Caenorhabditis elegans: one gene and its partners. The protein of the gene in region 2 purifies or fractionates together with the protein of the main gene of each other region. This does not show direct contact. Each region holds a gene or a part of one and is shown on either strand. Other genes may lie near its edges.

Region 1 (8,584 bases), on a different chromosome or scaffold from region 2:
GACATGGGAAAGTCGTGTACTCCACACGGACAAGTGCATTTAGTTTTACAATCGAGCCGCGACGCGACACGCAACGCGCCGTAAATCTACCCCCAGATATGGCCTGGCCTAGTTCGGCAAAAACTCTTCCATTTCAATTTCTGAGGGAAGCCAGACACATCCGTGAATTTTTGACCATATCCACGTTTTTCTTGTCAAATAACAATAGCATATTCAACAGGACAATTGACAATTGAATTGAGATATGAGAAACAAGAAAAAGTAATTTGACTCCTGACTTCTTCTTCTTCTTTTTCATAGAGTGGATGGTGGATAGTGACATACAAACAGGGCACACAGTTTCGTGTTGACACTCTCTCTCTCTCTGGACAGAACAATATAAGACACGAACATGAAAAGGAAGATGAACAATGTTCCTGCAAAAAAAAGTTGAAGCTTGGAAGAGTTGGAGAAATTTTCACCAAATCAGCAATTGCCGGAAATGAAAATTTCGGGCAAATCGGCAAATTGCCAGGATTGAAAATTTCCATCAAATCGGCAATTGCTGAAAATGAAAAATTTGGGCAAGTTGACAAATCGGCAAATTGCCGGAATTGAAAATTTCCGGAAAATTGGCAAATCGGCAAATTGCCGCAATTGAAAATTTCCGCTAAATTGGCAAATTGCCGGAATTGAAAATTTTCCGGCATATCGGTGAATCGCCAAATTGCCGGAATTGAAAATTTCCGGAAAATTGGCAAATCGGCAAATCGCCGGAATTGAAAATTTCCGCCAAATTGGCAAACTGCCGGAATTGAAAATTTTCCGGCATATCGGCGAATCGCCAAATTGCCGGAATTGAAAATTTCCGGTAAATTGGCGGAGTTGAAAATTTCCAGCCAATTGGCAATTTCCGAAAATTAAAATTTCCGGCAAATCGGCACATTGCCAGAATTGAAAATTTCCGGCAAATTGGCAATTGCCGAAAATTAAAATTTCGGGCAAATCGCAAATTGCCCGGAATTAAAAATTGCATTTTGCCGATTTGCCGAAAAAACGACAATTGCAGAAAATTGTGGTTTTGACATTTTTGGAAATTTCAGAATTTCAACATTATTTGTTTTAAGTGGATCCGTCTTTTTAAAAGTCTCTTTAAAAACTTTCGCAAACGGCAAATCGGCAATTTGTCGAAAATGGAAATTTTCGGCAATTTTGCTCGTTTATTACATGTTTAATCCTAAATTTCGGTATATTTTCAGTCGCTGGGAACACAAATTTCATAAAATTTCGCTTTATTTTGTGTTAAAAACTAAATTTTCTCAGAAAAATTCACATTTTAAAGGAAATTCTTCAATTTGAACTTCCCGCTATTTTTATACTGTCTGTTTTATCAACAGGGCGCGTTTGCACTTTTCAACTTCTGGCTTTTTTCGCCTTTTTTAATCCATTTTTTCACATTTATTGATCGAAAATCTTGCGGATAAAGGCTATTTTTTCAAGATTAAATTAATAAAAATTTGAAATTACTTAAATTGAATCCTAAAATCTGTGAAAATCCCAAAATAATACTCTCAAATCGGAGCCAAGCCGTCAATACATAGAAAAAATCCAAAAAACCTTAAAACTGCTGATTTTTCCACTTTTTTCTACAATTTTCCGACACTTTTATAGGTTTTCCATGCCCTAAGTACAAATATGAACGGGATTATTCGTTTTTCTCCCCTCTCTGGCACTCTTGTCGTCTCTCGCCCTCTCACTTACCCCCGCTGTCTCGTTTTCCCATTTCTCGGTGAAATTTTGAACCAATTTTTTGGTTTTTACACTTATTTTGACGATTTTTCCAGTATTTTCGTGTAAAAATTGAGATTTCTCGTGTTTTTAACGTTATTTTATGTGGTTTTAAGTTGTAAAACTTTTTTTTGGGAATTTATCGATTTTTAAGGTAATTCGCTGCAAAAATGACGAAATCAAAGTCAAAAAAGGAGGATTTGATCCCGGAAATCGGGGATTTCACAAAGTTTTTCAAAAGGTTGGCATAATTAATCGAAAAAAATATAGAAAAAAAATTTAAAAAATCAATAAAATGTTGATTTTTCAGTCGATCAAAATTTTCCGACCAAATAACCGATGTTATTTCGAATGTCTACGAATGGTCGACATCACTGGAACCTTCAGAAGACAATCTTCCACTTCCATTTGTTTCGAAAAACGAAGAAGTCGTTTGGAGTTATCTGAAGCATCAGAATAAGCAATTAGATGGAATTAATAAGAAATATAAGGTGCTTATTCGCGGGATTTTGCTCGAAAAATCCTAAAATAATCTTAAATTCCGAAAAAACACAGAAGAAAATCGAAAAAATCGATTTTTAAAGTTCTATTTTTCAATTTTGGCGAAATTCCCTCCAATTCCCTCCAAAATGAAGAACGACCAATCAGCGATTAGCACCGCCCACTTTTGAACCAATAAGAGGAAAGGGGCGGAGTTCGAAGGTGCTGATTGTTCAGTACAAAAAACGGAGGAAAAACGAAAAAAAATCGATTTTTTTTTCGAATTTTGGTTAAATTCCGTTTCCGACCAATCAACGATTCGCTCCGTCCATTTTTGAACCAATCAGATGAAGTGGGCGGAGCTCAAAGACGCTGATTGGTCGTGCAGTCCTTATTTTAAAGGGAATTCAACAAAATTTTAAAAAATCGATTTTTAAAACGTGATTTTTCAATTTTGGTTAAATTCCGTCTTCGACCAATCAGCGATTCGCTCCGCCCACTTTTGAACCAATCAAATGAAGTGGGCGGAGTTTGAAGGCGCTGATTGGTCGGGCAATTCTTATTTTGGAGGGAATTCAAACAAGTTTGAAAAAAATTGCGTTTTTAAATTTCAAACTAAATTTTCGGGATTTTTGAAAAAAATTTCTAAAAATCCCGAAAAAAATGTCCTAAAAAATTTCTAAAAATTCCACAATTTTCAAAAAATCTAGAAATTTTTAGCAATTTCCGAAAAATTTCTAAATTTCCAAAAATATTGAACTTTTTTTGAAAATTTTTGAAAAAAATCGAGTTTTTTTTTCTGAATTTCAGGCTATTTTTTGGAGTTTTTTTTCACTTTTTTTTTCCTCAAAATTGCTTGAAAATGCTCCGAATTTCAGGGATTTCTTTCCGAGTTGATTGGAAAATCGCATATTCGGGTGGCGGCGAAAATTCAGGATTCTGAAGGTTCGGAAGATGGTTCTGATGGCTCCGATGGCGGCTCCGAAGAGGAGCTCGATGATGATGAGGAAGAGCTGGAAGATGAAGAGCTCGAGGATGAAATGATTGACGATGAGGATGAAGCCGATCTTTTTAATTTAAGCGAGAGTGATCTGAAGACGTTGGACGCTGATTTGAAGAAAATGGAAGAAGAAGAAGCCGGAGAAGAGAAAGAGGAGGTGGAAAAAGCCACAGAACAACCGAAAAAATTCAAGAAATCCATTGTGGACGATCAGTTTTTCAATCTTGACGAGATGCACGATTTTTTGCAAAAAACTGAGAGAGCTGGAGGCAAAAAGGCCGCTCAGGATGAGGAAATGATGTTTGAGGATGAAGTATGTACCTGGATGGCTGAAAATCTGCAAAATTTGGATTTTTATGAGCCGAAAAGTGCCAAAAAGTGCCCAAAAACAATTTTAAAAATACACACTTTTTTCCACAAAAAGTGCGCGAAGAAATTGCAAACTCCGCCCCCCTTTTTCCCGGCCAGAATTCGTAATTTCGAAATTAGAGTGCAATCGCGCTCCAACGCCAACACAACACAAGTATTGCCGGAATTGTTAAATTTTCGGCAAATTGGTAAATTGCCGGAATCGATAATTTCCGGCAAATCGGCAAATTGCCGGAATCGATAATTTCCGGCAAATCGGCATAATTGGAAATTTCCAGCAAATTGGCAATTGCCGAAAATGAAAATTTTGGCCAAATCGGCAAATTGCCAGAATTGGAAAGTTCCGGCAAATTGTCAAGTTGCCGGAATTGTTAAATATCCGGCAAACCGGTAAATTGCCGGAATTGAAATTTCCAGCAAATCGACAAATTGCCGGAATTTTAAAATTTCCGGCAAATTGGCAACTTGCCGGAATTGAAAATTTCCAGCAAATCGGCATATTGCCTGATTTGTGAAATTTCCGCCAATTTGCCGAAAATGAAAATTTTGGGCAAATCGGCAAATTGCCAGAATTGAAAAGTTCCGGCAAATTGTCAAATTGCCGGAATTGTTAAATATCCGGCAAACCGGTAAATTGCCGGAATTGAAATTTCCAGCAAATCGGCAAATTGCCGGAATTGCAAAATGTCCGGTAAATCGTAAATTGCCAGAATTGAAAAGTTCCGGCATATCGACAAATCGCCGGAATTGTTAAATATCCGGCAAACCGGTAAATTGGCGGAATTGTGAAATTTCCGCCAATTTGCCGAAAATGAAAATTTTGGGCAAATCGGCAAATTGCCAGAATTGAAAAGTTCCGGCAAATCGGCAAATTGTGGTTTTGCACAATTTTTTGTTGTTGGAAACTTCATATTTTCTTGTTCCAAACGAGACCCAATAGGCCAATTAGCGATGGAGCGCGATTGCACCTCAGTTTTCAAAAACCGCCTCGCTGCCATAATATATTAATCTCGATGAAAATTCCCTAAGAAAATGTGTGTGTGTGTGTGTTTTTTTCAAAATTTCAATTAAAAAAAAAAAAAAATAATAATTTCAGGATAGCTGGGACGGAAAAACCGACTACACGTATGAGGACTTTTTTGGATCTCGTGAGACAGTTGCTGAAACCGAAAAAATGAATGGAGAGAAGAAAAAAATTGAAAAAGATAAGAAACGGAAGGCTGGAGATAAAGCTGATTTATCACTTGATGATGGGTTTGTAGTTTGTAGTTTGGAGGAATTGGAGAAAAAAACGGAAAACCACAGAAAAAAACGAGAAAATCCCCCAACCAATCAGCGTCTTCAACTCCGCCCACTCCACCTGATTGGTTGGAAAGTGGGCGGAGCGAATCGCTGATTGGTCGCGGTCTCATTTTGAAAAAAATTCGGCCAAAATATTGAAAATCTGCGTTTTTTAGTTTTCAAAAAATGTAGAAATTCAGCAATTTCCGAAAATATTTAGAAATTTCTAAATTTTTGGAAATTTGAAATTTTTTTTTCACTTTTTTTTCGCCAAAATTGATGGATTTTTCATTATTTTGCGATTTTTTTTTTCGTTTTTCTCCAAAAATACTGTAAAAATGTAGAAAATCACTAAATTTATCCGAAAAATCACGTTTATTTCAGCTGAAAAAATCAAAAAATATTTTTCGAATTTTCTAGCTGAAATAAATGTAATTTTCCGGATAAATTTAGTGATTTTCTACAATTTGACACTATTTTTCAATGAAAATCGTTGGAAGCACATGGTGCAACATGACAAAATTGTAAAATTGCCGAAAATAAGTGAAAAAAATTTAAAAATCCCAATTTTCAATCTTTTTTCTAGGAACGCCGAAAAAATTGCGAAAAAAGTTGCAAAACGCGATGTTTTGAATTCCCTCCAAATGAGAACTCATCGACCAATCAGCGACTCGCTCCGCCCATCTCTGGACCAATCAGACGAAGTGGGCGGAGTTCGACGACACTGATTGGCCGGGGAGTTTTCATTTTGGGGGAATCCAAACAAAAGTGAAAAAATCGATTTTTAAAAACGTGATTTTTCCAATTTTGATCAAATTCCGTCTGCGACCAATCAGCGATTTGTTCCGCCCTTTTTTGCACCAATCAGGGTGTGTGGGAGGAGTTTGAAGGAGCTGATTGGTCGAAATGCTAATTTTGCGAATTTTTCGCAAAACTCGGAAAAATCCAACTTTCTGAAACTACGACCAATCAGCGATTTGCTCCGCCCACTTTTGCACCAATCAGGGTGTGTGGGCGGAGTTTGAAGGCGCTGATTGGTCGGGGAGTTTTCATTTTGGGGGGAATTTGAAATTTTAAAATCCAAATTTAAAAAATCGCCTTTTTTGTGATTTTTCCGAATTTAGGACTATTTTTTAATAAATTTTTAAAGCGAAAAATTCAATTCAAAAATGTTCTTCCAGAAAGAACAAAAAACGCGTTCGTTTCGCAATGGATGAGGAACCTGAAGAAGAAGAAGTTGAAGACGAGGAGCAAGAAGACATTAATGATGAAGAAGAGCCCCCAGAGGATGAGCCAGTGCTCCTCGGAGCCGACCTCGAAGAGCCGAAGGAAGAATCGGCGTTTGCCAAGCGTCAGTCCAAGATGAAGGAACGAATCGCTAAGCTTGAGGAGGAGAATTTGGCTCCAAAATCGTGGGAGCTCTCCGGAGAGGTTGCCGCCGATCAGAGAGATCAGAATACCCTGCTGGAGAAGCATGTGGATTTTGATCATGGAGCAAAACGTGCTCCAGAGGTTACCGAAGAGTTTACAGGTACGCTGATGATGGCTGGAAATTGGAAATTTTAGAAGAAAAACTATGGGAAAAGCGAAAAAAATCGGGAAAATCTCACTTTTTGAAACTGCGACCAATCAGCGATTAGCTCAGCCCATTTTTGGACCAATCAGATGGAGTGGGCGGAGTTTGAAGGTGATGATTGGTCGGGGAGTTGTCATTTTGCGATTTTTTATCAAAAAAAATCGGGAAAATCCAACTTTTGAAACTGCGACCAATCAGCGATTAGCTCCGCCCATTTTTGGACCAATCAGATGGAGTGGGCGGAGTTTGAAGGTGCTGATTGGTCGGGGAGTTGTCATTTTGCGATTTTTTATCAAAAAAATCGAAAAAATCCAACTTTTGAAACTGCGACCAATCAGCGATTTGCTCCGCCCATTTTTGGCCCAATCAGATGGAGTGGGCGGAGTTTGAAGGTGCTGATTGGTCGGGGAGTTCGAAAATTGAAAAATCACGATTTTTTTCTTTTCAAAGTTTTGAATAAAACAATTTTTTCGGCAGGAAATTAGTTTTTTGAAAAGTTGCAAAAATTTTATAAACAAATTTATTAAAATTGTATTAAAATTAACACAGAAAAAGAGGCGGAGCCTAATTTCGCAACCTTGCCGCACGGTTTTTCCTCTTTCTTTTTGTTGGTTTTTTTCCAATGAAGTTTCGATTTTACTTGTTTTATTTTCTTTCGAAAAACGAAAATAAAACAATTAAATTCAAAAATTGATTTAAAAAATGAAAACCGTGCCACAGGGTTGCGAAATTAGGCTCCGCCTATTTTCTGTGCGACAATGCTGCTTTTTGTAAAATTTACGAATGGAAATCGCCAAATTTCAACCATAAAATAGGCAAAGAGAGCCTCCGTAACACGGAAAAATTGGCGAAATTTGAGATTTGAAACCGTCGCACAGAAAAAGAGGCGGAGCCTAATTTCGCAACCTTGCCGCACGGTTTTTCCTCCTTTTTTGACCGGTGTTAATTTTAATATCCTCATAATAGCATTTTCATTCGAAAAAGAAAATAACATAATTAAATTCAAAAATTGATTTAAAAAAATTAAAACCGTGCCGCAGGGTTGCAAAATTAGGGGCTTCGCCTATTTTTCTGTGCGATGCTGATTCACGACGGATTGCTCGTAAAATTTCAACCATAAAATATGCAAAAAATAGTATTTTTTTCGCAAATTTCGAGGCTTTAGCTTAAAAATGCCGTTTTTTTTTTCAAATTTTAAGACGAAAACTGCCTCTTTTTCTGTGCGATGCGCAAAATTTTATTTTTTTCTAAATTTCAAATATAAAATAGGCAAAAAATAGCTGATATGACATGGAAAAATTGGAAATTTTCGAGATTTTAGCTTAAAAATTCCGTTTTTTTTTTTTTTTTTTTAATTTCAGCCATAAAATAGGCAAAAATAGAGTTTTTTTCCAGACCGCCTCGAGTCACTTATCAAGCAACGAATTCGTGATAAAGCCTGGGATGATGTGATTCGAGTGAAAAAAGTCGAAGCGAAAGGCGCCAAATTCGAAACTGAAGCCATCGAGAATCAAATGAATCAGAAAACTTCCTTGGCTGAGGTTTATGAGAAGGAATATCAAAATTCGACTGGAAATTCTGCAGATGGAGCAGCAGGAGCCACGAAGCCGAATGAAGCTCATGAAGCTATAAAATCGAAGATGGGAGATCTCTTCCGGCTAATTGATGCGCTAACTCATTTCGAGTATAAACCGGATCAAGCTCGCGAGGAGGTGAAAGTGGTCTCAAATATGGCTGCTCTACGTGTGGAAGAAGTCGGAATTACAGCTTCAACGGAGGCTCAGCTTATGGCTCCAGAGGAGATTTCGAAGAAGATGAAGGCGATTGAAAAGAGCAAGGATGAGAGAGACGCGACTGATAAGGCACGAGAACGTCGGCAGAAGAAGGCTAAGCAGAGGTCGATGCTGGAAAAGTTTGGCGAGGAGCGAGTTTTCGGAGAGCAGAAGGCGGTGAAGCTGGCCAAGAAGGAGAGGAAGGCTGGGAAGGAGAAGGGCGGCGGGGTGGATAAGATTAAGAGCTCGAACTTCTTTGCGAAGCTTCAGGAGACGGTGGCTGCTGAGAAGAAGGATGGAGCGGTGACGAAGAAGAAGAAGAAGATTGTGAAGAGATTG
Region 2 (6,581 bases):
TAATCAAATGTGATAAAAGCAGGGGTTTTAATTAAAATCTGTAACTTTATACAACGGATAAATGGATGTACTGCTACTGCACAACCTCAATCAAACGATCAAAGTTTACGTTAAAGAGATCTTCTTCATTGGTGAATATTATATGTTAACAACAGATAATTGAAGACAGCATGATTAAAATAAAACATTAGAATCGGAATACATTGAGATTTTGAGAAACTCAAATGCATTTGTAAAGACAGTGTGGGGGATTAAATGAGCAGAACGAAAAGAATTAAGAGATTTTGAGTGAAAATGTGGAACGTTACAGAATGGGGAAAAATAAAATAAAATATTTAAAACGGTCGTTGAAATATTTGCCTAATGTCTAGACTTTCTCTTTCCGTTGGACGATGCTTCTTCTTCTTCTTCTTCACCCTCGCTGCCACTTCCACTAGTATTGTCTTGATCTTCTTCTTCATTTCCTGAATCTTCAGCAACACGTTTGCTTGATTTGGCCTTTTCCTGTTTCTTGCTCGATTTAGGTGCTTCTTTCTCATCTTCCTCATCCTCGTCTTCCTCGTCGGAGGTTTCAGCGCGTTTCGACTTCTTTGGACTCTTCGAAGACTTCGACTTTTTTGGAGTCTTAACAACCTCTTCTTCTACTTCGTCTTCTTCCTCAGGAGTCTCAGCACGCTTCGATTTCTTCGTCTTCTTCGGAGTCTTAACAACCTCTTCTTCTTCGTCGTCTTCTTCCTCAGGAGTCTCAGCACGCTTCGATTTCTTCGACTTCTTTGTAGCAACAGGCTCCTCTTCTTCATCATCATCAGAAGCAGCTCTCTTTGTGGATTTCGAGGATTTCTTTGGAGATTTCTCTTTGACTTCCTCTTCTTCCTCTTCGTCGGAAGAGTCATCATCCTTCGATTTAGCGGACTTTTTCGGCGATTTCTTGCTTCCCTTCTTCTTGTTAGACTTCTTGACCGGTGGTGGTTTCATGTCATGAGAATCTTTGTAGGCTTCAAGAAGATCTTTGCAGTTCTGAAATAGTAAGGTTACGCAAAATTTTAGTTATAATAATGTTGCAGAGTATTCTAAACTTCATCAACTAGTTGAACTCACCGACAACTCATTCTCCCACATCTCCGAGTGAGACACCGGGTTTGGGTATCCACGCCACATGACCAAAAACAGTGGCTTGTTCTTCTTTCCGCTGAAGCGGTGAGCAATGATTTTCTCGACAGCAAAATCTGAAAATTGAACGTGGGAATTTTATACAATCAAAATGAGCTACCCTCATCTGGATCATCATCTTGGTTGGTGATCTTATACTTGTAATCGGCCAATAGTTTCTGCTCCTTTTTGCCCTGAAAGTGTAAATGTATAAGCGCCCGTGGAAATCTTTAAAAACCTCAAAATCGAACTCAGTGGCCATCATTTTCCTGCCATTTGAAAGGAGGACATTATATTCAACGTAGTGCGTGTTGAATAGTTTGTGATCAAGAATCTTCTTGACTGAAGCGTCCTGAGAAGAGCTCTTCGAGTCTCCAGATTTAGACGATTTGCTACGCTTTGCCCGGTGTTTCGTGGCATCGTGCACAACCTGGAAGTGAGTGGTTTGCTTTCTGAAAAATAAATATTGTAGATCATTTATTAGAACGAAAAATTCGAATAAAAAAAAACGAACCCTGATCTTCCAGAAGCACGAGATGGTGCACTACCGGATGATTTCTTTGCCATTTCGAAACCTGGAATATTTTATATCAATGATCAGTCAATTACGAGAAGAAAGCGAAAAATAACAATACTTTTGAAGCATAGAAAAATAAACACCTATTTATGATAGACATATAAATTAAGAAACTAGTTTATAAACTAGAGATAGCATGTAAATTAAGGAAATATGAAATTTGTGTTGGAGAACGTTCAAATTCAAATCGGCGCGCACGCGACGCAGAACAGCAGCGTCGCGGCCACTCAATGACTATACATAAATGGGAGACACAGGCATTCGTTGCACCGCCAACCACCATTCATGCGCCAGTACAATTCGAATAGCTTGCATGGAGTGAAAGAGAGTATACGTATGAAGGAGACGAAATAATAACTACAACAATCCGTTATTTCGCAGTCGCGCGTTCTTTAATTTAATTATTTTCTCAATTATTTTTTTCCATTTTCAGTTGAAATTATAAATATTGACTATTTATCACTCAGAAATTGTTTTTTCAGAACAGAAATGGAAGTTTCAACGGTCAACGATGTTAAAATTTATAACTTGAGCGCTGGAAAAAGCCTACCAGAGGTATAACCATATAGAAATAGCAGATATTAAAACAATTTTATTTTTCAGTGGATGTCATCCCGCACTAGAAGAAAATTGGAACAAAGAAACACCGATGTTCGTCAGAGGATTCAGCTCATTCAAGATTTCGAAATGCCCGATGTCAGTAACACAGTGAACATCACTCCAGATGGCAAATATGTGTGGGCTTCAGGTATAATTTAAACGAACCAGTAAACTATTTAAAACGCGAGGAATTATAATAATAAGCTCTGTAAATGAATTTAAAAAATTGAAAATGAGAAAAAATATATTTGTATTCAAAATCAGTTAGAAAGCTTCTGTAAATATTTGCCGTGTTTTAAAGGAAACTACAAACCTTGGCTGAGATGCTACGATTTGAACAATCTATCATTAAAATTCGAAAGAGGACTCGATGCAGATGTCATTAAACTTATCCCACTGAGCGACGACTACTCGAAGGTATGTATTGGTTGCTATGGAAATGATATTCAGCTTGCACATGTTGCAGGTAGTAATATTAGAAGAAGAACGATGGATTGAAATGCATGCGATGCTTGGAAGATATTTCCGAATGCGAATGCCATGCCAAGGACGAGACATGGCACTTTCAGAAGAATCAAGTGATTTGTATCTCGTTGGATCGAAGTAGTTTCAATATTTAAAATGTTCTAAGCTAAAAGCAAATTTCAGAAGCGAAGTTTACCGTTTCAATCTCGAGCAAGGATGTTGGCTGACTCCATTCGAATCGACTGCTCCTCTGAACTGCGTTCAAGTTTGTACTGAACATCAATTAATTTGCTGTGGTACCACAAACGGTGTCGTTGAGGCATGGGATCACAGAGACAAATCTTTATGTGGTACCTTAGATGCAGGTTCTTCTGTTAATAGCCATATCGGGTAAGAATTGATCTTCTATAATGAGTATCAAAACATCTTTTTTTCAGTGAAAATCAAAAAGTGGCCGTCACGTCTGTTGCATTTTCTGATCCTTTACACATTGGAGTGGGTACAAGTACAGGCCAAATCCTTATTTACGATTTGCGTGCTCGTCGACCTCTTCTTATCAAGGACCACAATAACGAATTACCAATCAATAAACTAGATTTTATCAAAAGAGACGATGGGGATGTCGTTGCTTCTATGGATTCTAGAATGATGAAGCTATGGCATGAAGAAGATGGTTCACCTATGGCTGCTATCGAGAATACATGCCCATTAAACGACTTCTGCCGGTTCCCAAATTCAGGAATGTTCTTCTTCGCAAACGAAGCTCCAAAAATGCTCCAGTACTTTATTCCACAACTTGGCCCTGCTCCAAAATGGTGTTCTTATTTGGAAAATCTTACAGAAGAGATGGAGGAAACAGAAACTACAGTCTACGATAACTATCGTTTCGTTACCAAGAAACAACTTGATGATCTTGGGCTTTCGGGACTAATCGGAACAAATGTTCTTCGAGCATACATGCATGGATATTTCATTGATGCTCGTCTATACAACAAAGCTCAAACACAAATGCAACCATTTGCTTATGAAAAGTACAAGGATGAGAAGATCAAGTCAATGATTGCTGATGAACGTGAAGAGTCTGCAGTTAAAAAGAAGGTGGAAAAGTTGCCAGCAGTGAATAAGGCTCTCGCAGCTAGACTCCGTGATGAAGCATCAGCTGCTAATCAGAAGGCGGAAACCAAGAAAGAGAAAAAGAAGAGCAAGAAATCAGATGCCGCAACTTCTCTTCTTGCTGATGATCGTTTCAAGAAATTGTTCGAGTCTGAAGATTTCGAAGTTGATGAAACAAGTGAGCAATTCCTGAAGAATGCATCAATTGCACAAAAAATGAAAGCAAAAGGACCTGTTGAAGTGGAATCGGAAGGTGAAGAATCTGAAGACAATGATGCATCCGACTCTGAAAATGAAGCAAGTGGTAGTGATAGTGAACCGAAAGGATCTGCATCATGGATGGTTGAGGAAAATCGTGAAGTAGATATGGCTTCGGATTTGGAAAGTGCTTCAAGTGATGAAGATATAGACCAATCGTTGAAAGCAAAACGAGCCAAAGTTCGCGCCGCTAAAAAATCTGAACGAAACATTCAAAAATCGCAGAAATACGACGAACGGAAAGAGGCGAAGAAGATTAGGAAGTTAGTTTTTTCAACATTTTTCCAAATTAAAGATGAAAATGTTCCATTTGGGTTTGAATACGAAAAATATGATCATTCGACATAGTTTTCTTCTCTCAGAAATTAACAAAAACATTTTTAACATTCAAAAATAACCTTTTAAAATTACATAAAAATATTTTTAACACCTACTAACCTCAGTTACACTGAAATTGAATGTGCCATTCGTCTAAAAATTTTCCAAAAAATATAAATAAATATTCTTTCTTGATTTTCAGAGAACAGCGACAGTTATCGAAACCTTCCAAATTCGTACTTCATTCAATTGGAACCGGCGAGACGACTAGAAAGTTTGTTGACGAAACTGTCGCGGTCAGAGATGATGCTGACAACAAGGTGTTTTTTATTTATTAAAATTATGACTATTCATTTATTTTTAGGACTCGATGGCTCTCGGTGCCCGTAAAAGAGCAACTGCGAGAAGTGATAGAAAGACTAAGAAGGTCAACGATGATGATGTACCCTTCGGAGGTCGCGAGATGACATTCACGATTTCGAAACGTGATAAGGATCTTCGTGCAGAAGCTGCAAAGACGAAACAAGCAGCTCATGCAGCTGAACGAAAAGAAGTGAGCCGACGCCCGAATGCTCTGGTCACAAAAGGACTGAAAAAACTTCCTGGAAACGTAAACGTTGGAAAACGCCAGAATACATTCTAAAACTAGAACCCTTTAGATTTAAATTGTTGATTTTATTTTTCAAATCTTGTTTTTTATCAACCAGTTCTCTTTTTCCATATTTTTTTATTATTCTCATATTTACTCTTGTTGTTAGTTTCTTTTTGTTGTTGTTGTTATCTATCCCATCCAGCTTTTGTTTGCCATTTTTGTTCGAAGCTTTTTTTTTCTGAATAAAAAAGAACAGCGACTAAAATTTAAGACATGACTCGAAACATGATATCGTATTCGCGACAGGATCCGTTTTCTCGCAAAATGATGATGTGACAGATATGGACGATTGGTGCAGATTTTGACTTCTGGTGTCTTTTCATGGATGGGAAATTCTGTATTCTCATTGAACGTACTCGAAGACTGGAAAAATCGAAAATAAAACGAAGTGGGCAATCAATCAAAAACGAGGGAGCAGTTCCGAAGAAAATGAATGCTTTTTCCGAGTGAAATTGGCAGAAGAAATGTTGAAAGCTTTTTTGTCAAAATACGTAGTATTCTATATTAAACATATTATATGTTTATATTAACTGTTTATTGTACTTTTGTAGCTTTATTAAAGATGTATAGATCGATTCAATTGGGTCTCGCCGCGAAAAATGTAAAGGATTTTCTCACAGCGACTTTTGAAAAATTTGAAAAATCATCTAAGTAGGCGTTTCAGGAAATATGATATTACAATGTGGGTACATACATTACAGCCACTGTACCGTAATCTACCGTACCCCAAACATTTTCTATTCGGTTGCCGTGAGTTCCCGAGCATGTGATTGAAAAATTAGGTGTACACAATCACAAGCAACAAGACATTATTCAGTTTTAAGTTGAGAAATTCATATTACATAGACGTCAAAAATGAGTCTTTTTGACAAATCGTACGTACAAAGGTCTCACCACGCGAATAACGAATTACTGTAACTCGTGCCAATTAACGGGCGTTATTTGACACGAGTTACAGTAACTTGTTGTCCGCTTTCTTTTTTCGTTTTTTATCTTGATAATTTTGCAATACATGCAATTACTAGAAACCATTGATTTTTTAAAAAGTCTTTTGATATTTGCGATGATGACAAAAAATAGGATTTCAACATCGCATGAGTTCATTTTCTACGATGATTTTCAGAGTGATATTTTCATGGAAAAATGTTTAAATTTGAATAATGTTTTGTGTATGATTGCTATGGAAAACTCAAGCATATAAAACTATGCTTCAAATTTTGTTAGTTGAACTTCTAAAATTTCTAGATAAATGCATATGGATAAGTTGCTCAACTATCTGAACACAAAATGTGGCTATCGTTTTGACTACCACTGTAATATCATACGAATTATAGAATTTTAAAAGATTGATAAGTTTCGAATGAGATATTAATAGAAGTTTAGTGAGCTTCCACGAGCAGTCAGTTTCTTTTGAGACGCATACCATTTTCCAAAATCCCTCTGCGATTT
Region 3 (5,960 bases), on a different chromosome or scaffold from region 2:
AATTTTTTTTTTTTAATTTCCGATAAACTTTAATTGTTTTTTTAACGAAAAAAATTGCTTTTTCAGCTATTTTTTTTGATAAATTTTATCCAATTTTTTCAGATTTTTCTGTCTAAAAAATGCCAAAATTTCCGGAAAATTTAATTTTTTCGAGATAAATCCGATTTTACAAAAAAAGAGCCGTTTTTCTTCTTTTTTTTCAAAAATTAAAAAATTCCGGTGAAATTCAATTGTTTGTTATAAAATTAGTATTTTTCCGATTTTTACAAAAAAATTGCTTTTTTCAGCTATTTTTTCAATTTTTTTGATAAATTTTATCCAATTTTTCAGATTTTTTTTGTCTAAAAACGCCAAAATTTCCGGAAATTTTAGATTTTTACGAGATAAATCCGATTTTACACAAAGAATATCAGTTTTTCTTTGGAAAAATTTGAAAATTGATTTTTTTTTTGGTAAATTTTATCCAAAAAATTTTATTTTTCAGATTTTAAACAATATTTACAGATTTTTCTCCAAAAAATGCCAAAATTTCCGGAAAATTTAAATTTCTACGAGATAAATCCGATTTTACAAAAAAGGGCCGTTTTTTGTTGAAAAAAATTAATTTTTAAAATAAATTTTCTATTTTTCCGATTTTTTAACGAAAAAAATTGCTTTTTTCAGCTATTTTTTCAATTTTTTTGATAAATTTTATCCAATTTTTTCGGATTTTTCTGTCTAGAAAATGCCAAAATTTCCGGAAAATTTAATTTTTTCGAGATAAATCCGACAAAAAATATCAGTTTTTTTTTGAAAAAATTGATTTTTTGATGATATATCTCCTATTTATTTTTTGAAAAAAAATTGGTTTTTTTTGATTTTTTCATAAATGTTCCAAAAAATCCAAAAATTTTTATTTTTCAGATTTTCTCAAAAATTGGAAAATTTCCGGTGAAATTAATATTTTTATAATAAAATTAGTATTTTTCTGATTTTTTCACAAAAAAATTGCTTTTTCAGCAATTTTTTAATTTTTTGAAAAATTTTATTCAAAAAATCATATTTTTTAGATTTTTTCAGATTTTTAACAATATTCGCAGCTTTTGCTCCGAAAATTCAAACTTAATATTAAATTTTTTAAAAATTCCAATTTTTTACACTGTAAATTTTGGCTTTTTCTTCCCAAAATTTCCCAAAAAATCATCGCATTCTCCAACTAACCTGCACACAGACAAACTTCCAATTGAATGAACGTCGATAATTTTCGGAAAACTTGGAATACTTGAATTGCCAGTTCACGAGTTGGTACCAAAACGAGTACACGTGTACAACTGGCACCTTTCGGACGATAAATCATACGTTCGAGAATTGGAAGAACGAAGGCGGCGGTTTTTCCGGTTCCAGTCGCTGCACAGGCGCAAATGTCCTGAAATTGAACAGTTTTAGATCAATTTTTGAAGAAAAAAAAAATCACTAAATGTCCTTTTTTTTTAAAGGAGGTGTAGTCGAATTTTTTAAATTGCTTTATTAGACTTAAAATTGTCTGAAAACACCGAATTTCATAATGAAACTTCACAAAAAATTTCCAAAAATTTTTTATGGCTTGTCAAAATTTCAAAAAAAAAGAGCCAAATTTTGCTAAAATCTGAAATTTCGCACACTTTTCTTTGTCACAGCTGCTGGATTTTAACTTTTCTGAAATTATCACCTTTTTATCCTTATTTTGGTAATTTATATTTTTGGATGCCTATCAGCCTAAAAGTTGTCTCAATCATCGAATTTCCGTGATATAAATTACCAAAATAAAGATTAAAAGGTGATAATTTCAGAAAAACTAAAAACCAGCGGCTATGACAAAGAAAAGTTTGCGAAATTTCAGATTTTAGCAAAATTTGGCTCTTTTTTTTCGAAATTATGACCGGCCATAAAAAATTTTTGGAAATTTTTCGTGAAGTCTCATTATGAAATTCGGTAGTTTTGGACCATTTCGGGTCGGAAAAAGCAAAGGTTCAAATTTCGGTACTCCACCTTTAATTCTTGTCAGAAAAATTCCAAAAAAAAATTTTCCGCAAGATTGCAGTACCTTTCCAGTAAGTGCCACCGGAATACACGCCTGTTGTTTTTTTTTTGAAAATTTCAATTTTTTTTTGGACAGCAGTCTAATAAAAAAAACCCCAATCTGGTTATTTTTTCAGAAAAAATAATTTTTTTCACGAGAATTGTTTTTTTTTTCGCAAAAATGATAGAAACATTACCTTAAGTGAAAGTTGATTTTTTGCTGAAGAATTTTTTAAAAATTTAGTCCTGACAAAAATGTTAATCATTGGCTTTTTGTGTTTTTTTTTTTGAAAAGGAAGCAAATTTTTTTGAGAACGAAAAATTTCTGGTTCCTTCAATATACATATCCGTTTTTGGTATTTTTTTTTGTGAAAATTTTTTTTTCGGAAGAATATATATTTTTTTTGGAAAATTTGAATGTTCTTCAATTTTTTCTCTTTTTAAATTTTTTTTTTGGAAAAAAAAACGATTTTTCGGGCATCTTTCCAGTTTTTCATTAATGTTGAATTTTTCAATTTTTCCCAAAGGTAAAAAAAAAACTAAAATTGATTTTTGGCAAAAAATAAACCAAAACATTAATTTTAAGATTTTTCAATCCTTTTTTGCCTAAATTTTTTTCAAAATAATAATTTGGAGTCAAATAAAAATATTTCCCAGACATTTCACTACTCCACCTCTACTTTTTGTCAGAAAATTTCCAAAAAAAAAAATTCTCCGCAAAACAGCAATTCACCTTTCCAGTAAGTGCGACCGGAATACACGCCTGTTGAATAGGCGTCGGATCCGAATATCCAGCGCCGGAGCACGCCTTCAAAATCTGTCGGCTCAAATTCATTTGTTCAAATGATACATTAACACTCGTGTCGAGACTTTTTCCATCAATCAGCGCCGAAAAGAAATCCTCATTTTCCTGGGATTTCTTTGATTTTCCACTTTTTCTCTTCTCTCGTACAGTATCTCGTGTCTCTTTTCCACCCAATTGTTGAACATCATCCTCTTCTTCATCTTTCTCCTCGGCTTCAGCAGCTTCAGCTTCATCCTCAACAATTACAGCTTTTCCCGTATTCTTCAACTTTCTCATTTCGGCGATTTTCTCGTCCAGTGACGTTGGCGTCTGCTTTTTCAGATATTTCTGAAGATCCTCGGTTTCTCGATCGATAAATTGGGTGTCGCCTGACTCAAAAATGAAATCCTGAGCAAATTCTTCGGCGGCATTCGCCATTTTCTTCTTCTTTCTGACGGTTACTGCCTCGTCTTGGACTTGCTCGTCGTCCGACTCGTCGATTTCCATTTCTTCGTCGGATTCGACGGTTTTTGGGAACAAATTCACCATTTTTTTTTTGGCTCTGAAAATTGGGAAATACGATTTTTTTAGTGGGGGAGGGAATTTTTTTTGAAAAAATCCAGATTTTTTTGGATTAAAAAAATTAGGGCATTTTATTGGGTTTTTGTTGATTTCCAGAGGATTTTTCACTTGAAAAATATCGATTGTAATGGAATTTCTCTGAAAAAACCGTGAATTTCTCAATTTTTAGCTAAAATTTCAGAAAATCTCATATTTTGGAGCATTTTCAGAGGATTTTTGACTCAAAATTCTAGTTTTCACGGATTTTTCAGTCAAAAAATTTCGATTTTTATGGAATTTGTTCCTTTCAAAACCGGGAAATTTAAAAAAAACGACAATTTAATTTTGCGCTATTCAATTTTTTTGTTAGACAAAAATTACATTTTTTTGGCTATTTTTCTTGGAAAATTTGAATTTTCTATATTTTTTGGACACCAGTCAATTGAAAAAATATTTTTTTCTGAAAAAATCCAACAATTTTTGGATTTAAAAAAAATTGACATTTTATTTGGTTTTTGTTAATTTCCAGAGCAATTTTTCTGTCAAAAAATATCGATTGTAATGGAATTTCCATGACAAAACCGGGAAATTCTCAATTTTCAAGCTAAAATTTCAGAAAATCCCATTGTTTGGATAATTTTCAGAAGATTTATGACTGAAAATTGACTTCTCCGCGATTTTTATGGAAATTTTAAAACAAAAAAATCAATTTCAATGATTTTTTTAAAACAAAAAATATTCTCAATTTTTAGCCAAAAATTTTTGATTTTTCAGGGATTTTTCAGTCAAAAAATATCGATTTAAATAGATTTTCCTCGCAAAACCGTGAATTTCTTAATGTTTAGCTAGAATTTCAAAAAATTTAATTTTTGACTGAAAATTGATTTTTTAGGAATTTTTAGTCATAAAATCATCAATTTTAATGGAGTTTTTCCCTCTCAAAACCGTGAAATTCTTAATTTTTGCCAAAATTTTAGAAAATCTCAAATTTTGGGTTTTTGGGAACAAATTCACCATTTTTTTTAGAAGGGGGAATTTTTTGAAAAAATCGGAAAAAAATCCAGAATTTTTGCATAAAAATTTTTTTTTGGCATTTTATTTGGTTTTTGGAAACGATGGGCTGTAAAAAAGATTTTTTTAAATTTTGTTAATTTCCAGACGATTTTGCAGTCAAAAAACTACTTTTAATGGGATTTTTCCCTCTTTTTTTTTTTTTTTTTTGTTTTTTTTTTTTTTCATTTTTAAATGAAAAATTACGAATTTTTCGGCATTTTTCTGTGCTAATTTTTTAAAATTCTATATTAAAAAAATCTTTTTTTAGACTAAAATTTCGAAAACTTTGCCATTTTTGAACAAATTTTCTCAATTTTTAATTTTTTAAGCTACAAAAGTGAATTTCTACAAATTTTCGAATTAAAAAAAAAATTGAATTGGTAAAGAAAACCAATAAAAATCACGACGAAAAAATTCAAAATTCTCCAAAACCTCCATAAAACAGTGTTTTTCATACAACACATTGAGAGAGGCACCAATTGAATAGAATAAATAGTAATAAAGCGAAAAAATGGGGAGAAATTACCACATATTTTGGCATTACAACGGGGGGAATAGAAAAATTCAGAGAAATATTGAAAATTATCAGAAAAAAACGGGGAAATTCAGGAAAAAATTGAGATTCAGAGAGAGAGAGAAAGAGATGAAAAAGATTTTTTGAAAATTAAAAAAATTAAGAAAATCAACAAAAAAAAAATTACAGAAAAAATCAAAAAAAGCAATTTTTCAGAAGAAAAAACACGAGAATTTCAAATTTTTTAACAAAAAAATCCAGAAAAAAGTGCATTTGACGTGAAGAGATCGATCATTCGAGAGTGATGAAGGTGGGCTGAAAAAATGAAAATTTTTGCGTGAAATTTCAGAAAAATCTCAAAATTTTGACAATTTTCCGGGGGGGATTTTTGAATGAAAATTGATGATTTTTTTCGAGATTTTAAAGAGGAAAATATCGATTTTTATGGAATTTTTCCCTCTCTAAATACCGTGCAATTCTCAATTTTTAGCTAAAATTTCAAAAAATCCCATATTTTGGAGCATTTTCAGACGAATTTTTGACTGAAAATTCGAGTTTTTGTTGAAAAATGTAAATTTTAAGGATTTTTTGCGAAAGTTTTTTTTTTTTTGCAAATTTGATCAATTTTATTTGATTTTGTCGCAATTTTTAATTTCGGAAATGACATTTTTTGCCTGAAATTTCAGAGAAATACGGATTTTTCAGTTAAAAAATCAATTTTAATGGTTTTTTTTTAAATCCAGCCACATTTTTTTTATTCAAAAATGGAAATTTCAGCTTGAAATTTCACAGAAAACCTCAAAATTTTGATAATTTTCCGGTGATTTTTGACTGAAAATTGATTTTTCTGGCATTTTTTAGGAATAAAAAATCAATTTTAATGGTTTTTTTTTTCACAAAATCGTAATATTCTCAATGGTTAGCAAAAATGTGTTTGATTTTTCACGAATTTTTCAAGTAAAAAATCGATTTTTATCAGTTTTTAATTTCGGAATTTTTTTTTTTCATTTT
Region 4 (8,540 bases), on a different chromosome or scaffold from region 2:
TATTTTTATCCATTTTTCACCCCAAAAAATCCCAGTTTCTACACAAATTTTGTACCAAATCTCCCCAAAAAACTAAATGTGATATTATTTTTTTTTAGAAAAATATGAAGAAAAATTTCAAAAAATATTGAAATTTCTTTTTGCTAAAAACAAAAAAATTTCGATTTTATTTTTAAAATTTTTTCAAATATCAAAAATTTCCGTAATTTTTCGATGTTTCAGTATTTAAAAAAATCGGAAAATTTAAATTTTCCAATTTTCAAAAAGTTTTTAATTTTTTTTCGATAAAAAAAATCGAAAATTTCAGATATTTACAAAAAAAAATTTAATTAAAATTTAGATTTTTTCAAAATTTAAAAAAAAAACAACTGAAAACTAAAAATTATAGATTTTTCGGAACTTATCCTAAATTTTCGTTTTCAAAAAAAATTTAACTTTTAAATTAATTATATTTTTAAAAAATCGAAAATTTTCGATATTTCCAAAAGATTGAAAATTTGAAATTTTTTCAAATATCAAACATTTCCGTAATTTTTCGTGTTTTCAAAAAAATTTTAAAAACTATTGAAATTTCTTTTTTTTTTTCTAAAGCGAAAAAGTAAAAATTGTCGAGAAATTTTATTTTCCGATTTTCAAAAAATTATAATTTTTTGTAGATTTCAAAAAAAAAATTTCGGAAATTTTCAATTTTTTTAATCGAAAAAAATTGAGCACTTTTTGAAAATCGGAAAATTGAAATTTTCCAATTTTCAAAAAGTTGTCAAATTTCTTTTTTGTTAAAAAATTGAAAATTTCCGATTTTTCATCGTTTTTTTTTTGAAAATATCAAAAAATCAAGAATTTTAATTTTTCGATTTTCAAAAAATTAAAATTTTTCAATTTTTCAAAAAAAAAACTAAAAATTCGATATTTTCAATATTAAAAAAACCAAAATTTTCGAAATTTTGCTCCAAATCTGTGATATTCTATTAAACAAATCAAAAAAATCTTATAACAAGTAACAAAAAAAAACCAAAAATTTAAAAATTAAAAAAAAAATGCTCCAAAAAAATCAGGAAAACAACGACTTAAAGAGCTCATTCCGGCTCTCATGGCTCCAAGTGACGACCGACGGCTTCGATGGATAGAAATTGATGAGCCGGGCGATTGGCTCGTACTTCAAGCGGCGATCTTTTGACGAAAGTTGCGAGACATCTCGTTTTTTCTTGTTACTGAACATTGTCTGTAACTCCATATAGCTTCTCGTCATGTCTGCTCCGTCTTGAGAGTTGTTGCTCATCTGGTTTCGTGCTTCGAGCATTTGTTTGAGCAGAATTTGATAGAAATCCGAATCGTCGAACGTCTCGGGGTCCAGGGATTCCGGAGAGTCGGATTTGCCGCCGATTCGCGGTTTTCCGCTTCGATTTGTGCGCACTTTTTTGAGCAGCTTCTCCTCGTCGGCGAGAACCTGCAAAATTTCAATTTTTTTAAGATGAAAAAATGGGTCTCACCGCGATTTTAGGTTTAAATTCGTAAATTATTGGTCTCGCCGCGATTTTCGCTACTTTAAAGGCGCATGTAATGGGTCTCGCAATGATTTTCAGAGATTTCCACGGAAAAATTTATAAAATTTCCAATTTTTCACAACTAAAACACGTTTTTTTCAGAAAGGCAAAGCGGCAAATCGGCAAATTGGCGGAATTGAAAATTTTCGGCAAATCGGCAATTTGCCGGAATTGAAAATTTTCGGCACATCGGCAAATTGGCGGAATTAAAAATTTCCGGCAAATCGGCAAAATGCCGGAATTGAAAATTTCCGGCAAATCGGCAAATTGGCGGAATTAAAAATTTCCGGCAAATCGGCAAAATGCCGGAATTGAAAATTTCCGGCAAATCAGCAAATTGCCGGAGCGATTTTTGCGGGAAATTTTGGAATTTCAATTTAAAAAATTTTAAGCTTACGATTTTTAGTGAAAAATTAAGAATTTTGCGGCAAAAAACGGGGTTTTTAATGGAAATTGCCTGGAAATTCGGATTTTTGAGGAAAAAATGAGCAAAAAAAACATTTTTGTGCGATTTTTTTCGTGAAATTTGCGAAAAAATCGATTTTTCAGCCAAAAAACTAGATATTATGGTAAAAAACCGATTTTAAAGCAGAAATCCAACGCTGGGTGGTGCTACTTTAAAGGTGCATGGAATGGGTCTCGCCGCGATTTCCGTTATTTTAAAGGCGCACGATATGGAAATGTTTGAAAATTTTTTAATTTCTGGAAAAAAGTAGGGTTTTTGTTGTGAAAAACCGGAAATTTTATGGTTGTTTTTTCGTAGAAAATTGGCAAAAAATACACGAATTTTTCAAATAAATTTTCAGAATTTTCAGAATTGTGCGATTTTTGCGGGAAATTTTGGAATTTCAATTTAAAAAATTTTTAATTTACGATTTTCAATGAAAAATTAAGAAAAAACCGGGGTTTACAATAGAATTTGCTTGGAAATTCGAATTTTTGAGGAAAAACCAGCAAAAGGTTTTTTGTGCGATTTTTCCGTGAAATTTGCGAGAAAAAAAATCGATTTTTTCAGCCAAAAATCAGCCAAAATTGAAAAATTAGCCAAAAAATTAGATTTTTTGGGGGAAAATCTGCCAAAAAAAATATTCGAAATTCGATTTTCGGAATCCAGCCGTTTTTTTTTGTTGTCCCAAATGCAAAAATTTCGATTTTTCAGCCAAAAAACTAGATATTATGGTTAAAAAAACCGATTTTTAAGCAGAAATCCAACGCTTTTCCGCCACAATTTTCTACCTTATTAATCTGTCCAAGAATGCTGCCCTTTTCAAAAACCGAAAAATCCGTATTATTCATAGATTTCGGCGTGTTGAGAATCTTAGTTCGATTGTACCATTTCGTGAGTGTTGTTGCTCGGAATTTCTCCATTTTTTCATCGATTTTTTGCAGATTTTTTGCGAGGCTTTTCACACTGGTAGATCCTCCACCAATTTTCCGTGATTTTCCCGGAATTTCGAGCTCTTCCGCCGGCTCTTCTTCATCGTCTTCAAAATCACTGAGAATCTCCTCATCACTTGGAATTTCCTCTACATCATCATCATCTTCTTCATCTTCTCCGGCGGCTTTTCCCTTCCCTTCACCAATCAATTCCATCGCGTTTTTCATTAAATTCCGTAATTTTCCCATATTTTCCATGGCCGATTCCATCGATTTTTGTGTGTGCTCTTCGCTGGTTTTGAGCAGATTTTTTCGAGCTTCTCCACGTGGCAGCTGATTGGCTGTGTTGAGCAACGCGTGGAGCCGGATATTCGAATAGAGTAGATCATCCCATACGAGACGCTGATTTCGGACACTGGCGGCTGAAAAAATGGAATTTTTTTTGGGAATTTTTAGGGAAAAGCTGCAGTTTTCCGAAAAAAAAAGCAGTTTTTAAGTATAAAATATTAAGATTTTTAAAATTTTTTAGCATGGGTTTTCTTTTTTTTTTTTTTTTGATTTTTAATAGAAAATTTGAAGATTTATGGAATTTTTCCGTTGAAATTAATTTTTTTTTCGGCGATTTATTTTAGCATGTTTGATTTGTAATGGAAAATTTGAAGATAATTGAGAATTTCCGATAATTTTTTTTTATTTTAAAATTTTCTCAATTTCCGTAAGAAAATTTCAAGTTTTCTGGGATTTTTTTTTCAATTTTTCCACATTTCTAAGATTCTTGAAGGTTTTTTTTTTCAATTTTTTGTGCATTAAAAAAATAAAAATAAAAAATTTTGTAACTTTTTAAATGATTTAATGTGATTTTTTTTTAAAGAATTGCCAATTTTCCGATTTTTTAACGGAATTTTTGCTCCAAACTTTTAGATTTTTTCGTTTTTTTTCCAAATAAAATATAAAAATTTCATAAAATATGGTTTTTTTAAAATAAAAACTCAAAAATTTGGAGATTTTCTGAGTAAATCTGGAATTTTACGACTTTTTGTGTGGAAATTTGAGTTTTTTGTGATTTTTTAGAGCAAAACTTGAAGCTTTTCGTGATTTTGCGGGTGATATCTGAGATTTAAAGACGTTTTTGTGAAGATAATTGCAGATTTTTCTGAAAAAATCCGATATTTTGACTGAAAAAAGTCATTTTTCCTCGGAAAATCGGTCAATTTTCGCAATTTTAATTTTAAAAACTATACTTTTTCCCAATTTTCAATCAAAATATCGGATTTTTTCAGAAAAATCTGAAATTATCTTCACTAAAACGTCTTAAAATCTCAAATATTACCCGAAAAATTACAAAAAACTCAAATTTTCACACGAAAAGTCCTAAAATTGTACAAACAATTTTTTTTGAAAAATCCCGAAAAATTTCTCAAAAAACTGGAAATTTTCTTCAAGAAATCGCTAAAAAGTCACATTTTTTCTGAAACATTGCGAAAATCTTGAAATTAATAAAAAATAATCGGAAATTCCCAAAAATGTTCAAATTTTCCATTAAAAACCACCAAAAAAAAATCTAATTTTCCCGAAAATCACCAGATGTTCATTTAAAAACATTGCAATTTTAGAAGAATCGCCAAAAAAATAATTTTAACGGAAAAATTCCACAAATCGTCCAATTTTCCATAAAATAACCACACAAAAAAAAATCTAAAGTCCCAAAATTTCAGATTTAAGTCGAAAAATCTGAAAAATTCAGCATTTTCAAATGCGAAACATAGGAAAACTTCAAAAATCTTAATATTTTATATTTAAAACCGACTTTTTCGGAAAAAAAAACCGCTTTTTAATATAAAATATAAAATATCAAGATTTTTGAAATTTTCCTGGGTTTCGCATTTGAAAATGCTGAATTTTTCAGATTTTTCGACTGAAATCTGAAATTTTGGGACTTTAGATTTTTTTTTTGTGTGGTTATTTTATGGAAAATTGGACGATTTGTGGAATTTTTCCGTAAAAAATTATTTTTTTGGCGATTTTTTTTAAATTGCAATGTTTTTAAATGAACATCTGGTGATTTTCGGGAAAATTAGATTTTTTTTGGTTGGTTTTTAATGGAAAATTTGAAGATTTTTGGGAATTTTCAATTATTTTTTTTATTAATTTCAAGATTTTCGCAATGCTTCAGAGAAAAATATGACTTTTTCAGCGATTTCTTGAAGAAAATTTAAAGTTTTTTGGGATTTTTCAAAAATTAGGAGATTAGTTTGATTTTTCTGTGGAAAATTGGCAATTTTCCCGATTTTTTTTAACGGAATTTGCTCCTTTCTAGGTTTTTTTGAATTAAAACTCAAAGTTTTGGCGATTTTTTGAGTAAATCTGGAATTTCACGACTTTTTGTGTGGAAATTTGAGTTTTTTGTGATTTTGCGGGTGAAATCTGAGATTTTAAGCCTATTTTTTCTGAAAAAAAAAATCAATTTTCCTCGGAAAATCGGTCAATTTTCGCAATTTTAATGTTAAAAATACAGAAAAAACCGGGAAATTCGCCAAAAAATGCTTTTTTCGCAAATTTTTCCCATTTCAGAGGCTTTATTAACCTTTATCGGCTTTATCCTCCTCATCTTTCAGCGAAAGAGTAGTCATTCCCATATTTGTATCAATTTCTTCAGGATTTTCATCTTCCTCGTCTTCTAAATCCTCATTTTCCTCCTCATCTTCAATTTCTGGCTCAGATTCATCGAAATTATCGATTTTTTCCTCCTCGTCCTCGTCTTCCTCGCTCTCCGACTTGTCAAAGTTCCCTTGTAAGCCGGAAATTTCAGAAATATCACCGAAAAGCTCTTTTCTTGAAACAGCACTTCCCGCGTACTTTCCCTCCTCGAAATTGAAATTTTGAGCGGCTTTTTGGCGGTTTCCGGTGGATTTTAGGGATTTTAGCGCGGACTGCGAGTCTGAAACATTTTTTTTGTTAATTTTTCGCCTGAAAAACTAGATAACCTTCAAAATTATCATCCTCCAAGTCTGGCAGCTCTGTTGCGGGCGTTGTTAGCTTCGAAATGTCATCTAACAAACCCATTTCTGAAAAAAACTTGATTTTATGGATTTTCCCGACTTTTAGGGCACAATAAAGCTGTGTTAGACGGTTTTAATGTCAAAAAGTGCATTTTTAGCATTAAAACACGGAAAAAATCTCGGAAAATGAGTGGAAATTGAGTTTTTTTCGAATAAAATAAAATAAAATAAAATAAATTAAATAATTTTCAAGCGGGATAACGGAGTGTCGTAGTGCGTGTTGTTTAGTGCAAAATAAAATAAAATTGGATTTTCTGTGCGAAAAAAAAAACAAGAAAATTAGATTTTCCAGCTTGGAATTTGTGAAATGATTGTACAATTTAAGACAATTTAAGACAAAAGTTCAGATGTTTCAGCATATTTTCATAAAATTTCAGATAATTGGAGACATTTTCAGATTATCATATCAGTCCGCTTTGAGCCACCCTTTGTTCCGGAAATGCCATTTCCTCAAGTTTCTAGGAGAAGGATCGTACATTACCACAGAGGATATGAAATTTATATTGAAGAATTTTAATTTGAAATATGGATTCCTGACTCGCTCTCTACGCAGAACCAAGATTGATATAAAACTGGTAAGTTGAAAAGATAATTGTTAAGAACTAGAATACTAAAATTTAAGTTGGTCAATATTCCACGTTTGGATTTCGAAAAAAGCCCAGGATTAACACTGGACGATTTGAAAATGATGAATTGCGAGAAGATGAGATTTTATGATCTCAATACAATCAAGGCAAGAGAAATCAATAAGTACATTCGTTATTGGTTAGACGGGAACCTACCAAACCTGAGAAGACTTCAATTGAACTATTGGTGGCATCATTGGGCGGGCGACTTATTGTATGGCTTACCATATTCCAAATGGAATCCGAAACGTCGAGCAAGAATATTCTGGTGAGTTTTATTACACCCTTTTCCAAATATTAACTTTTTGTTAGATCCTGTTAGAATCCTGAGATTATTAGCGATGTGAGCTACCTATATAAGTGGCAATGAGTCGAAATGAATTTAGCTTTTATTAAATTTATTTCAGCGATGATCTTGAATTCGTGGATTGCTCATATGGACGTGATATCGAAAGAAGTGATGGTCTATTAGCAACTATTCTCATTGAAAACTTTGCCATGTATTTTCTCGTATGGCATGATAGATTTCCGACGGATCCTCGAACATTGTTCCACTTCTCAAATTCCGTTTCAGTTCCAATTACAAATAATTAAAATTATTAATTTTCTATGAAATTACTTTTGGTGTATTATTGCTGTGCTGGTTAACTTTACTTTTTCAGTTACTAAAATAAAATTCAATTCAAATTTATTTGAGCTAATAAAATCCTGGTAAAAACTTTCTGAGGAATAGGAATCAAAAATTTTTCCCGTTGAAAATGTATAGACTCTTGAAATATGTAAAAAAATCTTTGTCCTCGTTCATTATTTTATAGCAAATGGCAGGATAAATGGAATATGAAAAAAAAACGATCAACAGAAAACTTGTAAAGCTAAAAATGAGGAACACGTTACCAGCAAAAACTATTTTCCTATTTTCTTTCACAGTCGAGATGTAGCTGATCAAACTGCTAGTACATTGTGATCAACTTGTGAGACTATTCTGGGTATTTTAACATGTGGTGTCAGGATGCCCCATTAGTGTTTGATCTTCAAAAAATGCGGGAATTTTTAATACAGAAAACTGTGACGTCATCACGCTTTCACCATGTAAATTCAGTCAGGGAATTCTGCGCCTAAAAAACAATAACATATAACTTTTTAAAAAAAATAAAGTTTCTGAAATTTTGAAACAAGGAAACATTGATCAAACATAAGTTCAAATTTTCTCAGAAATAACGTTTTGCCGGGAAATTGAAAATTTCTTTCTTTTGAAAATTATGTTTGGCGGCCCGAGTTTATTTTGTATTTTCTAGTTTTGTAATACATTAGTCGCGATTCGGATTTCTGGCTTCTCTCATAAATTGAAATGGAAGAGTTTTTGCAGAACTAGGCCATTTTGGCTCAGTAGATTTACGGCGCGTTGCGTGTCGCGTCGCGGCTCGATTTAAGTTGTAAAACTGAATGTAGTTGTCCGTGCGGAGTACACGGCTTTCCCACGCGTTGTCCGGCGGGCGATTGTCGATGGAGCGCGAAAATGTAACGAGAAAGGCCAGAGCCCCATGATTACCGTATATCTTCTATTAATATGGCCTCCCTATTAGACTTGCACTCCCTATTAGTATTGTCCCTCGGAGATCTTCTGAAAATTAGTATTGCACTCCCTAATAGTCTTGCGTTTACTCTTTTTTATTGCAGGCCCGTCTCGTTAATTTCAGGATTTCAACAAAAAAAATTGCCTATTTTGCTACAGTTTTTCACAATATTTCTACGAGATTGAAGTTTTTGAACTTATATGTTACAATTAGAATCAAATTTTCTGAATTTTTACATAAAGATTCGAGCTTTTTCAGAAAAAAAAAACTAGTAAGCTCAAAGTCAGAAAATGTTCTAAAAATTAGTATTGCACTCCCTAATAGTCTTGCACTCCCTATTAGTATTGCAAGCGGGAAGAC

The links.
Region 1: the proteins of nol-10 (region 2) and Y75B8A.7 fractionate together in Caenorhabditis elegans (co-fractionation; one large-scale study listed by BioGRID). This does not show direct contact.
Region 3: the proteins of nol-10 (region 2) and ddx-27 fractionate together in Caenorhabditis elegans (co-fractionation; one large-scale study listed by BioGRID). This does not show direct contact.
Region 4: the proteins of nol-10 (region 2) and aatf-1 fractionate together in Caenorhabditis elegans (co-fractionation; one large-scale study listed by BioGRID). This does not show direct contact.

What each region holds. Positions count from the first base shown.
Region 1 is NC_003281.10:12,150,978-12,159,561, forward strand, and holds the start of Y75B8A.7 (U3 small nucleolar ribonucleoprotein MPP10), read left to right. Parts: upstream 1-1,921; 5' UTR 1,922-1,937; coding exon 1,938-2,008; intron 2,009-2,077; coding exon 2,078-2,258; intron 2,259-3,125; coding exon 3,126-3,560; intron 3,561-4,712; coding exon 4,713-4,870; intron 4,871-6,078; coding exon 6,079-6,428; intron 6,429-7,868; coding exon 7,869-8,584.
Region 2 is NC_003282.8:7,578,389-7,584,969, forward strand, and holds nol-10 (NUC153 domain-containing protein), read left to right. Parts: upstream 1-2,208; 5' UTR 2,209-2,215; coding exon 2,216-2,281; intron 2,282-2,329; coding exon 2,330-2,474; intron 2,475-2,627; coding exon 2,628-2,743; intron 2,744-2,792; coding exon 2,793-2,929; intron 2,930-2,974; coding exon 2,975-3,181; intron 3,182-3,228; coding exon 3,229-4,425; intron 4,426-4,682; coding exon 4,683-4,800; intron 4,801-4,844; coding exon 4,845-5,123; 3' UTR 5,124-5,336; downstream 5,337-6,581. Other genes in the region: cec-5 (Chromo domain-containing protein), read right to left, coding at 361-1,017, 1,099-1,226, 1,271-1,343, 1,388-1,601, 1,664-1,716.
Region 3 is NC_003279.8:1,765,310-1,771,269, reverse strand, and holds the start of ddx-27 (RNA helicase), read right to left. Parts: upstream 3,384-5,960; 5' UTR 3,329-3,383; coding exon 2,771-3,328; intron 1,406-2,770; coding exon 1,201-1,405; intron 1-1,200. Other genes in the region: lin-65 (uncharacterized protein), read right to left, coding at 5,241-5,264.
Region 4 is NC_003279.8:1,599,284-1,607,823, reverse strand, and holds aatf-1 (Protein BFR2), read right to left. Parts: upstream 5,987-8,540; 5' UTR 5,985-5,986; coding exon 5,906-5,984; intron 5,860-5,905; coding exon 5,506-5,859; intron 3,344-5,505; coding exon 2,781-3,343; intron 1,448-2,780; coding exon 1,052-1,447; 3' UTR 978-1,051; downstream 1-977.